Linked DNA regions of Saccharomyces cerevisiae S288C. The main gene of each other region encodes a partner of the protein of the gene in region 2 in a complex. Each region holds a gene or a part of one and is shown on either strand. Other genes may lie near its edges. The genes, in order: POP3, POP5, RPP1 and POP8.

Region 1 (2,700 bases), on a different chromosome or scaffold from region 2:
ATCAGACTCGTCATGCATAAACTCTGGAATTTCTAGTTTCCCGTCCGCAAGTATGCCGTCATCATCCTCGTCGTCCTTATTAGTATCCAAATTTGTCACTTTGACGTTCATCGACAACTGTAAGTCAAAGTAGCAAATCGGCTTGCCCTTCCTTTGAGATACGTTGGAGTCACCGGTGATGCTACTCACCTGGGTTAACTCAATTTTGCTCTTCCCATCAGAGGAAACAGTGGACAAACTCGTTAATTTACCGTTCAAGTAGTCCTTAGACCAAGGTAAGGTGTTTTTATCCACCCAATGCCAGTTATTTGGATTCAAGACAACCATATTTTATCGTAAATGTGTTGTAACTTTCCGATCGTTTCAAACTTTAGTAGTAGTTTGATGATTTTGTCCAAAAAGTATTTGCTTAAATTTCAGCTTTTTTCTTCTTCATATGTATTTCTTTTTTTCCTCGCTTTCTCTGCCCACTTTTTTCTTCTGTCTTCTAGAAAAATAGGCCTGCGCGGGTAATTTTGTCTACTTTTGCCTCTTCTTCGAGACAATTGGCACTGTAGTTTTCAACAGCTTGACAGATGTGGGCCGATACTTGATAGCATTTAACCAGGGAAACTGAAGCAGATCAACGTTCTTCTGGATCTGCGATACGAATTTCTTGTCGACCCTATCGTCGCACCGCAGCAGCAGCATTCCATATTTAGAAACCGACTTGAAGGTATCCATGGCACTCTTGGGCAACTGCACCAGTTTAACCGTCATGGGCGCCATATAGCATAATAGCGGGATTTGCTGCAAGAGCACAAGCGGTACATCAGGGTCCTTATTGCACACAAATAGACATACTGGGTCGCTGTTTCCGTGAGCGCCGCTCAAATACTGCACAATTTCATTGAAATCTGTATACAGCTCCCAAGGGTAGTTCTCCTTCGATTGAATGTGAATCAACTTATTTATGATAGAGGATTGCAGCAGCTGCCAAATCAATGGCTGATCATGCACGCGCGGCCACATATGTGCTTCGTTTGTGAACGGATTGTCTAGCACGGGCTTATACACCTGCCTTCTTTTAGCTATTTTCTTGTCTAGAGATTTTAACGACCCGGACATGCTACTTACCGTCTTGATTTCCTCACCTTCCTTCTTGTTACAGTCCTCATCTCTATATCACTCATAATCTGAAAAATTTCACTTAAGCACGCAAATGCTATTTTTTACTTATTGCCCGCACGAGAAAATCAGAGAAAATTGAACTATGAGAACGGTATAGATCAGGGAATACATATCTGAGAACAACATCAAATATCCGCCCTGGCAATAGGATGTGCATAATTGCAGTTAAAGAGTGCATCGCATTTCCCCCGATTTTTGTTCTACTGAAAGTATGAACCCTGCTGTCGCGTTGGCCAGAACAGCCAGCTAGACCAATGCACCTTTATCACGTGACTATTACCGGGTAAAGTTACGGACATTTCGCGTTTTTTCCTGTTTTTTTTTTTTTTCGCGGTGCGGTGTTTTGTGGGAATGTGTTTGTTTACGGACTGTTTCGACATTAAGCAGAATGTTTCAACAGTGAGCCATTCTTGATTTGGTCATCTGGGCCCTATCTCCTTTTACTATGAATTTGCATATGTTTGTATGTTGTGATCTAGCACTTCTCCCAGAAGTGCATTTACAGCAGGTTTTTTGTTTCGTTTTATAACACTCTGTTTCGGTCTTTCTTTTTAAGATTGTCAGGGAAAAGAGTTCCAGCGACTGCTTTATACCTGTCCTCCGTCCTTCGAAGAAATAAAGAGGAGAAACCCTCAACGTAAAACATATAAGCAGTTTTCAAATCATCCACTCGCTTTTTCAATTCTTTACTATTGCTCAGCACGACCAACTATAGCTCAAAGCGTGGCTAGCCTTTGATTTACCATTATTGCTCTTTTTTTACTTTCATTTCTACCTTCGTTTTTCGCCAAAAGAAAACAAATCTAGTGAAAACAAACATTGCTGTTCGGTTATAGGACACGCTTTTTTGTATTTTTACAGACTTTCTGGTTTCTAATTGTTTCTTCTTTGAATTTCTTTTTGACCAACAGCATTATAGAAGTGGAATATGCACCTAGATCTCATACACAAGTCCTTCATCTTAGTGTGGCTCATATATATACGAGCCGCGTTGGCTGACCAATTCACATATAAAGCTTGCTATTCAGCTAGTGATATACGAAAATTGGGGTTGACTTACAAGGGTGTTTACGAGTATCAATCAGTTTCCTACTGTCAAAATGAATGCCCTGGTCAGGCTGTCGTTGCTCTTTTCAACGGTACAGGTTGCTACTGTGGTGGTTCCGTAGCTCAGTTACAGTCTTTGACGCAGGTAGATTCGAGCAAATGTGATGTTTCGTGTGCTGGCTGGCCCTACCAAAATTGTGGTGGTTCTTCTGCCATGAACGTTTATATCAATAACGCTGCTTCTACCGCGGACTCAACTTCATCTACTGCTACCTCAACATCGACAACATCTTCATCAAGCACAAGTGTTAGTTCAAAAACGTCCACGAAATTGGACACGAAAACTTCAACTAGTTCTTCTGCTACGCACTCATCCTCTTCCTCGTCTACAACCTCCACTACCACTTCCTCTTCAGAGACAACTACTTCCTCCTCTTCTTCATCCTCTTCCTCTTCTACGTCTACTACTTCTACTACTTCTAC
Region 2 (2,637 bases):
GTGGACTGGTAGTCATCGTTCTTCTTTGTGGTGAGTATACCTTGCGTTTCCGTGGTATCCATTCAGTGTCGGATTCAAACTTTCCTAGATTGTTATTGTAGAGAGCCTGTTTCCTCATATTATATCTTGCTTGTCTATTCAAATTCGGAGATGCTAACGGGGAAGGTAATCTAGAAGAAGAGGAAGGCAGAGGAGGAGGAGTCATATCATCATTGTATTTGGAATATTTATGTCTAGCATTATAGGCCAGATTGTTGTACCGGTTGATAATGTTCTTAGAATATGGTTGGGCCAAATTGCTGAAAATTTTGTATTGAGACAGAAACCCGTAGGTGGCGTAGCGGTACCTTTTTCTTGATAACCCATTGGGCCATACAGGCTTCACGAACAGCACATTCTCTACAGCGCCTTTAGGCGTAGATCCCACTAGCACTGAAGAGGCCATGCGGGGTGAGCCATTGTGGCTAATTTTCGACTCCAGCTTGGGCGACAAAGGTGGCGATGGTATTATATGTTCATCAACCAAGGAGTCAATGCTGCCAGAAAAGCATCCATTGCCATTATTTTGTGAGTTCTGGTTAATTCTTACGTCGTACGAGCGCCCATAGGGTGAATTATTGCTATAATCACTCATGTTTAAACCGTTTTTATTACTATCGTTATTGTTGTTACTTGCTTTCAAATTCTGATTCAGACGTCTGAAAATGGACTGCGAATCATCCTTACCAATGTAATTCATATTTAATTGAGACTTTTCAGATTCAGGAGAATATAATCCCATGTTTCCCCTATAAATGTTACGATGCGCGAATATCCTGTTTATCGATGCCCAGTGTATGAGCCATAACGGGGATGTTATGAACCATGTGGCTACTTTTATAAGCGGTTCTCTTAGGAAGAAGGGGGTTCTTGATAGACCCCTGCACCTCATCTAGCGGAGGTGCACGGATGTACCAACAGTTTTAGTGAACATTATTCACTAAAGAAGCATTGGGCATACTCAGAGCCAATGGCAAGCTCGTTTACCAGTTCAAATATGTCGTTTCATTATCTGTATGACTGTCGTAACTTTGAATCGATCTAATGTGTTGACCCTGTCTCAGGCTCACCCATGGCGGCGCCTGCACCTGTGGGTGAAGGAAGAAAGACGATGTTTGTGAGGGAACTGAATTGGGTTGAAGTTCATATCCTAAACAAACACTTCACCAGCCATGGATGCATGCCTTGTCTTTTCGCAGTTGGTGGCATGAAAATATATATCACCCACCAAACCCTCTTACTCTTTTCTTACCAAGTAACTCCAGTAAGTGCTCGTTTTTTTCTTCTTCCATTCAAACCTGCTTAAAAACCTCGACAAACGAGCCCCCAACGTACTACCACAGCAACCACTCTGGTTTTTCTATCTTGTTGTCTTTAATTGCCTCCTGACTTTGTTTTGTTTTGTTCTTGCTTAGCGCTCTTGAAAAATATTTTACTTTTCACTATCAGATTAATGTGATAGCAATAGTTAGTGCAACAAAGAAACAAGTCGATAAATGGTACGTTTAAAAAGTAGATATATCCTTTTTGAAATTATATTCCCACCTACAGACACCAACGTTGAGGAATCTGTGTCGAAAGCAGACATCTTGCTTTCGCATCACAGAGCATCGCCTGCGGATGTGTCCATAAAGTCGATACTCCAAGAGATACGACGCTCGCTGTCGTTGAATCTGGGCGACTATGGGTCTGCAAAATGTAACTCTCTCTTGCAGTTGAAATACTTTTCAAATAAGACGTCTACGGGGATAATCCGATGCCATCGAGAGGATTGCGACCTTGTTATCATGGCATTGATGTTGATGTCGAAAATTGGCGACGTCGATGGACTGATCGTGAACCCCGTCAAGGTAAGTGGGACCATCAAGAAAATAGAGCAGTTTGCTATGAGAAGGAATTCTAAAATTCTGAACATAATCAAGTGTAGTCAATCATCACACCTCAGCGATAATGACTTTATTATCAATGATTTCAAGAAAATTGGAAGGGAAAACGAAAACGAAAACGAGGACGATTAGAATATATTAATATATAGATGTACACGTATATGCAGTAGTTTTATTTTTTTATCTATAATACAACTCAAGCACAAGAATGCTTTGTTTTCCTAGTGCTCATCCTGGGCCTAGGCGCCATAGTTATCCGATTTATCATCGGATTCAGCTTTAGTAAACTGAATGGGGCCGTGAGAACCACTGGCACCTTCACTCTTAACATTGACCGCTTCGTCCAGCTTTTCGTAGTTGGTCTTGTATATGCTTTCAATATCTTGTTGGACGAACAGTGGGTTGTCATAAACCTGGTCTTCATGCCTTTTGGCGGAGGCATTTGCCCCTCTTGTGAAAAATCTTGAATCGTACTGCAGATCCGGTTGTTCTGAACGCTTTGCTGCGCCCAGAATTATCTTTTCGGATACGTCTCTTCCTTGAGAGTACGCCAGCTCTTTTAGTCTGGCCACTGTGCTCGTTTGCTTTTTGGGCTTAACTATTGCTCCCGTCTGCGGAGTCCCGTTGTGGTATCTGGCTCGTTGGCTCAATTCTTTCAATTTAGATTCTTTAGCAAGCATTTCCTGTTCCATAGCAAGCCGCTTCAATTCCA
Region 3 (3,247 bases), on a different chromosome or scaffold from region 2:
TGTAAAGGGTGAATTATAGAGCGCTCTAAGAAAAACGGTATGTATACGTATATAGAAAAATACATACATGATGGAACTATACAGCCCTTGAAAAAAGAACATATAAAATTAAGTCAAAAAATGCTATAGCAAGGTTATTATGGTTAGGTTTGTGACTTTCTGTTGAGTCACGTTCTATTCAAATTCATATTTCATGTTTCCGATTTCTTTTTTTTATAGATTGGCGGCCGCTAACGGTTTCTCGAGAAAGGCTTATCGTGCCATTCAGCTTAATACAAATATATTAAAAAAACAAGATACTTTATACTCACCTTTGTATGTTACGATCGATAGGAGAAATCGATAATATACGTATACGATAAAGTCTGTACAATATGACTGCACCACACAGAAGTACTATTCATATTCTTGGGTTGGGTGCCATGGGTACCGTTTTGGCAGTTGACCTTTTAAGATTTACCAATGCCCTAGTTGTGCCCTTATTTAGATCACAAGAAAGACTTGCACAATTTCAGAAGACAAATGGGAACAACATTTCGATTCGCAAACTTTATTTGGAAGGCTCGCCAATATTTTCTTATCCAGTGGAGAAATGCGAATGCCCTGAAACTTTCTCTAAAAAACCTATTGACAACTTAGTCGTCACTACAAAGACTTACCAAACCAAAGAAGCACTAGCTCCTTATTTGCCTTATATTAATAAAAATACAAACTTAATTTTGATTCAGAATGGACTGGGCGTTTTAGAACTATTGAGAGAAGAAATCTTTACAGATTCAAAAAACAGACCACATTTATTTCAGGGTGTCATTTCTCATGGCGTTTATCAGGATAAAGCAGGAGTTTTCAATCATGCTGGGTGGGCTGGTATGAAAATTGCCAAATTGCCTTGGACTGAGGAAGAAATGATTCAAAAAAAATCCGTAGTCGAGGACGATGCAGCCAATAACTCATTAGTAAAATTATTAACAGAACCAAAATTTGCCAAGGAATTTGGAATAGAACATTCCACTTATCAAGAAATGCTCTTTGGTCAATTATTTAAATTTTTGGTTAATGCATGCATGAATCCAGTTACGGCTATTCTAGATTGTGTCAATGGTGAGATGAAGGCCAGTTGCGGTCCAGTTTTCACATCTATTATTGACGAGTGTTTACAAATATTGAGAGTTGCTTATAGGCCATTGTTTCAATACCACGAAAAATACAGCGGTAATGAAGAATACCCAGAAATGGATGTCAATGCAGTACTGACAACCGATAACATGGTCTCCGAAGTCACTAGAATTGGCTGTGACATCAATTCTAGGAACAGTAGTTCAATGAGACAAGACACTTTGTTCTTAAGAGACATTGAAATTGAGTATATCAATGGCTATGTCGTCAAATTGGCTGATAACTTAAATCTAGACCCAAACTGCTGCAAGGTTAATAAAACTATCGGAGAATTGGCCACTATGAGATTAGCATTGAACAGGTCGAGAAGTATCAATGGTGACTGGAGAAAGGACTGAAAATGCGCGGATATCAGCCAGAACATATACATTTATAAATACTGATATATATACACTCTTAATGCTTTATTCGAGCGAACCTTAACAGTCTGAAGGCAGATTAATTTGTCAAGTGCCTCTCTTTTGTTACTACTACCAGAAAACATGAAAAATGTATGTGCGATGCCCAGAATTTTACCTCGCATAAATGAAAAAATTTCATTTTACCAGTAGAAAATACTTAACCTAAACAGACACAAAAAACAAAAGTGAAAGCATTATAGAACCGAGAATGCTGGTAGATTTGAATGTACCGTGGCCACAGAACAGCTATGCAGACAAAGTTACTTCTCAGGCGGTCAACAATTTAATAAAAACGTTATCCACATTGCATATGTTGGGATATACACACATCGCCATAAATTTTACAGTAAACCACAGCGAGAAATTCCCCAACGATGTTAAGCTGTTAAATCCTATCGATATCAAGAGAAGGTTTGGAGAATTGATGGATCGAACAGGGCTAAAATTATACAGCAGGATCACGCTAATTATCGACGATCCATCGAAGGGACAGTCTCTTTCCAAGATAAGCCAGGCCTTTGATATTGTAGCAGCATTGCCAATCAGTGAAAAGGGCCTTACTTTATCAACTACCAATCTGGATATTGACTTGTTGACCTTTCAGTACGGGTCGCGCCTGCCTACTTTCCTTAAGCATAAAAGCATATGCAGCTGTGTGAACAGAGGAGTAAAACTTGAAATTGTTTATGGCTATGCTTTGCGTGACGTACAAGCTCGGAGGCAGTTCGTATCCAATGTAAGAAGCGTCATCAGGAGTTCGAGGTCCAGAGGCATTGTTATCGGCAGTGGTGCCATGTCACCACTTGAGTGCCGCAACATATTAGGAGTAACAAGTCTAATCAAGAATTTAGGTCTTCCGAGCGATAGGTGTTCGAAGGCCATGGGAGACCTAGCTTCACTCGTCCTCCTAAATGGCCGCTTAAGGAATAAGAGCCACAAACAGACCATTGTTACCGGTGGTGGTAGCGGAAACGGCGATGACGTGGTCAACGATGTTCAAGGCATCGACGACGTCCAGACCATCAAGGTAGTGAAAAGGAGTATGGATGCTGAACAATTAGGCCATGCTTCCAAAAGACACAAGCCTTAAAACGATACGCTAACCTATAACATATAATGTATAAATGATAATTAAATACGTACCCGGGTAGTAGACATCGCTATTATCATCACAATCCACGAATCGCGACGCGAATTCGCGAAAAGACAACAACAATAAAGGAAAAAAAAAACAAAGAAATTTTTCGACGATTTCCATAGAGAAGGAAAACAACGAATAGACAAAAAAATTTGGGGATCCAAGGCATATTCTGTTACATTGTACCTGTAGGATTTACTGAGAGCTGAAACCATTGAAAACTATTCTGCAATTAATTATCTTCGTACGGACTATCACTACTTTTTTTTAAGAAAGACTTATTTCTATTGTTTATTGTTTATAATTCACTCTGAATACTCGCTTATTAATTGTGTGATAAATTCTAAAGGATGACTGAAGGAAAGAGGCTGCAACAGATGGAGCTTCCTCAAATGAAATCCATTTGGATTGACGAGGATCAGGAAATGGAAAAATTGTATGGATTCCAAGTAAGGCAACGATTCATGAATGGACCTAGTACGGATTCCGATGAAGACGCCGACGAAGATTTAGGAATTGTTCTCGTTGACAG
Region 4 (2,816 bases), on a different chromosome or scaffold from region 2:
TCTTCCGGTTCTGCATTAGGAATGATGTTCGGCGTTGGCAACGTTGGTCCTAACCTTTTACCATATAAAGAATGTTCCACCTTCTTCACCACCGATGGTGGCGAAACGTGGGCTGAAGTTAAGAAGACTCCTCACCAATGGGAATACGGTGACCACGGTGGGATTTTAGTTTTAGTTCCTGAAAACTCAGAAACTGATTCTATTTCCTATTCTACCGATTTTGGTAAAACATGGAAAGATTATAAATTCTGCGCTGATAAGGTTTTAGTAAAGGATATAACCACTGTTCCCAGGGATTCTGCTTTGAGATTTTTGCTGTTTGGAGAGGCAGCAGATATTGGAGGCAGCTCATTTAGAACGTACACAATTGATTTTAGAAACATCTTCGAAAGACAATGTGATTTCGACATCACTGGTAAGGAAAGCGCAGATTATAAATACTCTCCTCTGGGTTCCAAAAGCAATTGCCTATTTGGTCACCAAACCGAGTTTTTACGTAAAACCGATGAAAATTGTTTTATTGGGAATATTCCACTTTCTGAATTTTCAAGAAATATCAAAAACTGTTCTTGTACAAGACAAGATTTCGAGTGTGATTACAACTTTTACAAAGCTAACGATGGTACTTGTAAATTAGTCAAAGGACTAAGCCCAGCAAATGCTGCAGACGTTTGTAAAAAAGAGCCAGATTTAATCGAATATTTTGAATCGTCAGGCTACAGAAAGATCCCTCTATCAACCTGTGAGGGTGGCCTGAAATTGGATGCTCCCTCATCACCACATGCTTGCCCAGGAAAAGAAAAAGAATTCAAGGAAAAGTACTCAGTAAGTGCCGGTCCCTTTGCATTTATTTTCATTTCAATTCTTTTAATAATTTTCTTTGCCGCATGGTTTGTATATGACAGAGGTATCAGAAGAAATGGGGGATTTGCAAGGTTTGGAGAAATTAGGCTAGGTGACGATGGTTTAATAGAAAACAATAATACTGACAGAGTTGTCAATAACATTGTGAAATCAGGATTTTACGTTTTCTCAAATATCGGGTCTCTTTTACAGCACACAAAAACTAATATAGCGCATGCTATCTCCAAAATTAGAGGAAGGTTTGGAAACAGAACAGGTCCAAGCTACTCATCCCTGATCCATGATCAATTTTTGGATGAAGCAGATGACCTGCTTGCTGGCCACGATGAAGACGCCAATGACTTATCCAGTTTCATGGATCAGGGTAGTAATTTTGAAATCGAAGAAGATGATGTTCCAACACTTGAAGAAGAGCATACATCATATACAGATCAACCTACGACCACCGATGTTCCAGATACATTACCAGAAGGAAATGAGGAAAACATCGACAGGCCTGATTCTACAGCGCCATCTAACGAAAACCAGTAGAGAGATTACTTTACATAGAGTAGATAATTCCATATACTTTTCATAAACAAAAACGAGCAGATCCTTTAGACAGAATATCAAGTTCTTTCACAAGCCAAAGAAACTTGGCATGATCAGTACTGGTGCAATTCAAATAACTGCAAGTACTGAATCTCCATCTTCAAAGCAGAACCGTAATAATGCGTACAAGGAAGCGGGTGGGATATATCATATGTTACGGGAAAGTGGTTGTTTGACTGAAGATCATCGAGAACGTCATAACTTCAATACATAAGTCATCGCGTAATTTTACAAGCTTTACTGTTCAGCTTTATAGGATAATCAGAATAAGAAAAGGCAGATAAATAGTTTGATAAATGGCCAGTTGTGATGGGGAAAAAGACTTTTAGAGAATGGCAATATTTCAAGTTATCAATGTATGTATATTTTTGACTTTTTGAGTCTCAACTACCGAAGAGAAATAAACTACTAACGTACTTTAATATTTATAGTACTTCATTCGATCAAGATGTGGACGATGCACATGCTATTGATCAAATGACATGGAGGCAATGGTTAAATAACGCATTGAAACGTAGTTATGGTATTTTTGGTGAAGGTGTAGAATATTCATTCCTGCATGTTGACGATAAGCTGGCTTACATCAGAGTAAATCATGCGGATAAAGATACATTTTCTTCGTCCATCAGTACATACATATCTACTGATGAACTCGTCGGTTCACCATTAACAGTGTCAATTCTACAAGAATCTTCCAGTTTGAGACTTCTGGAGGTTACTGACGATGACCGCCTATGGCTGAAAAAAGTAATGGAAGAAGAAGAACAAGACTGTAAATGTATATAGAATATCAGTTTATTATTTAAAAAAACTTGGGCATAGAAGAAAGTGTTTTATTCTCCCAAAATATCAGCTGACGTTTTCATATTTAAACCCACTGAAAAAACCCACAAGATGATTCTGTATTATTTGAATCACCCCGAGATCTCTTGCAAATCCAGAACTTTCTACCTGGATTGGCCGAAGTTTTCGATGTTTTCAGCATGGATTCCTCCCCATGCCTGCACAGGGGAGGCTTTCCAAAGACATCCTTGAAATTCAACTTTGGCGTGGAGATTCTTTTTTTAGCTTGCTGTGGAATTTCAGAGGATTCTTTAATCCTGTCATCTTTTTCTCCATTTACCTTCTGGAAAAATGAGTCGAGCGATTTGTTTTTGATGTTGCTGTTTTTTTTGGTATTCATGACTTTTGATACACAATATTTTTGTTTATTAGATTCTTTATTCGTATCCTTTTTGGCAAACATCTCTAAAACATTATGGTTTCTTAAATTATATTTGTACCTTGCTTCGAATTTTGGTATGGGAACTTGTGTCGTACCAGGTTCAATTCTGTCGTCCAGTATATCTAAATCAGAATAC

Evidence for each region.
Region 1: POP5 (region 2) and POP3 share a complex: the UniProt entries of both Saccharomyces cerevisiae proteins name them as parts of the nuclear RNase P and RNase MRP complex.
Region 3: POP5 (region 2) and RPP1 share a complex: the UniProt entries of both Saccharomyces cerevisiae proteins name them as parts of the nuclear RNase P and RNase MRP complex.
Region 4: POP5 (region 2) and POP8 share a complex: the UniProt entries of both Saccharomyces cerevisiae proteins name them as parts of the nuclear RNase P and RNase MRP complex.

Annotation. Positions count from the first base shown.
Region 1 is NC_001146.8:106,094-108,793, reverse strand, and holds POP3 (Pop3p), read right to left. Parts: upstream 1,108-2,700; coding exon 520-1,107; downstream 1-519. Other genes in the region: HCH1 (Hch1p), read right to left, coding at 1-327; WSC2 (Wsc2p), read left to right, coding at 2,099-2,700. UniProt on the Saccharomyces cerevisiae protein: Required for processing of 5.8S rRNA (short form) at site A3 and for 5'- and 3'-processing of pre-tRNA.
Region 2 is NC_001133.9:81,171-83,807, forward strand, and holds POP5 (RNA-binding protein POP5), read left to right. Parts: upstream 1-1,535; coding exon 1,536-2,057; downstream 2,058-2,637. Other genes in the region: FUN19 (Fun19p), read right to left, coding at 1-781; mRNA splicing protein PRP45, read right to left, coding at 2,165-2,637. UniProt on the Saccharomyces cerevisiae protein: Component of ribonuclease P, a protein complex that generates mature tRNA molecules by cleaving their 5'-ends. Also a component of RNase MRP, which cleaves pre-rRNA sequences.
Region 3 is NC_001140.6:222,297-225,543, reverse strand, and holds RPP1 (RNA-binding RNA processing protein RPP1), read left to right. Parts: upstream 1-1,785; coding exon 1,786-2,667; downstream 2,668-3,247. Other genes in the region: ribosome-associated complex protein SSZ1, read left to right, coding at 1-19; 2-dehydropantoate 2-reductase PAN5, read left to right, coding at 375-1,514; GIC1 (Gic1p), read left to right, coding at 3,066-3,247. UniProt on the Saccharomyces cerevisiae protein: Component of ribonuclease P, a protein complex that generates mature tRNA molecules by cleaving their 5'-ends. Also a component of RNase MRP, which cleaves pre-rRNA sequences.
Region 4 is NC_001134.8:185,423-188,238, reverse strand, and holds POP8 (ribonuclease P), read left to right. Parts: upstream 1-1,764; coding exon 1,765-1,811; intron 1,812-1,886; coding exon 1,887-2,241; downstream 2,242-2,816. Other genes in the region: PEP1 (type I sorting receptor), read left to right, coding at 1-1,395; DNA-(apurinic or apyrimidinic site) lyase APN2, read right to left, coding at 2,324-2,816. UniProt on the Saccharomyces cerevisiae protein: Component of ribonuclease P, a protein complex that generates mature tRNA molecules by cleaving their 5'-ends. Also a component of RNase MRP, which cleaves pre-rRNA sequences.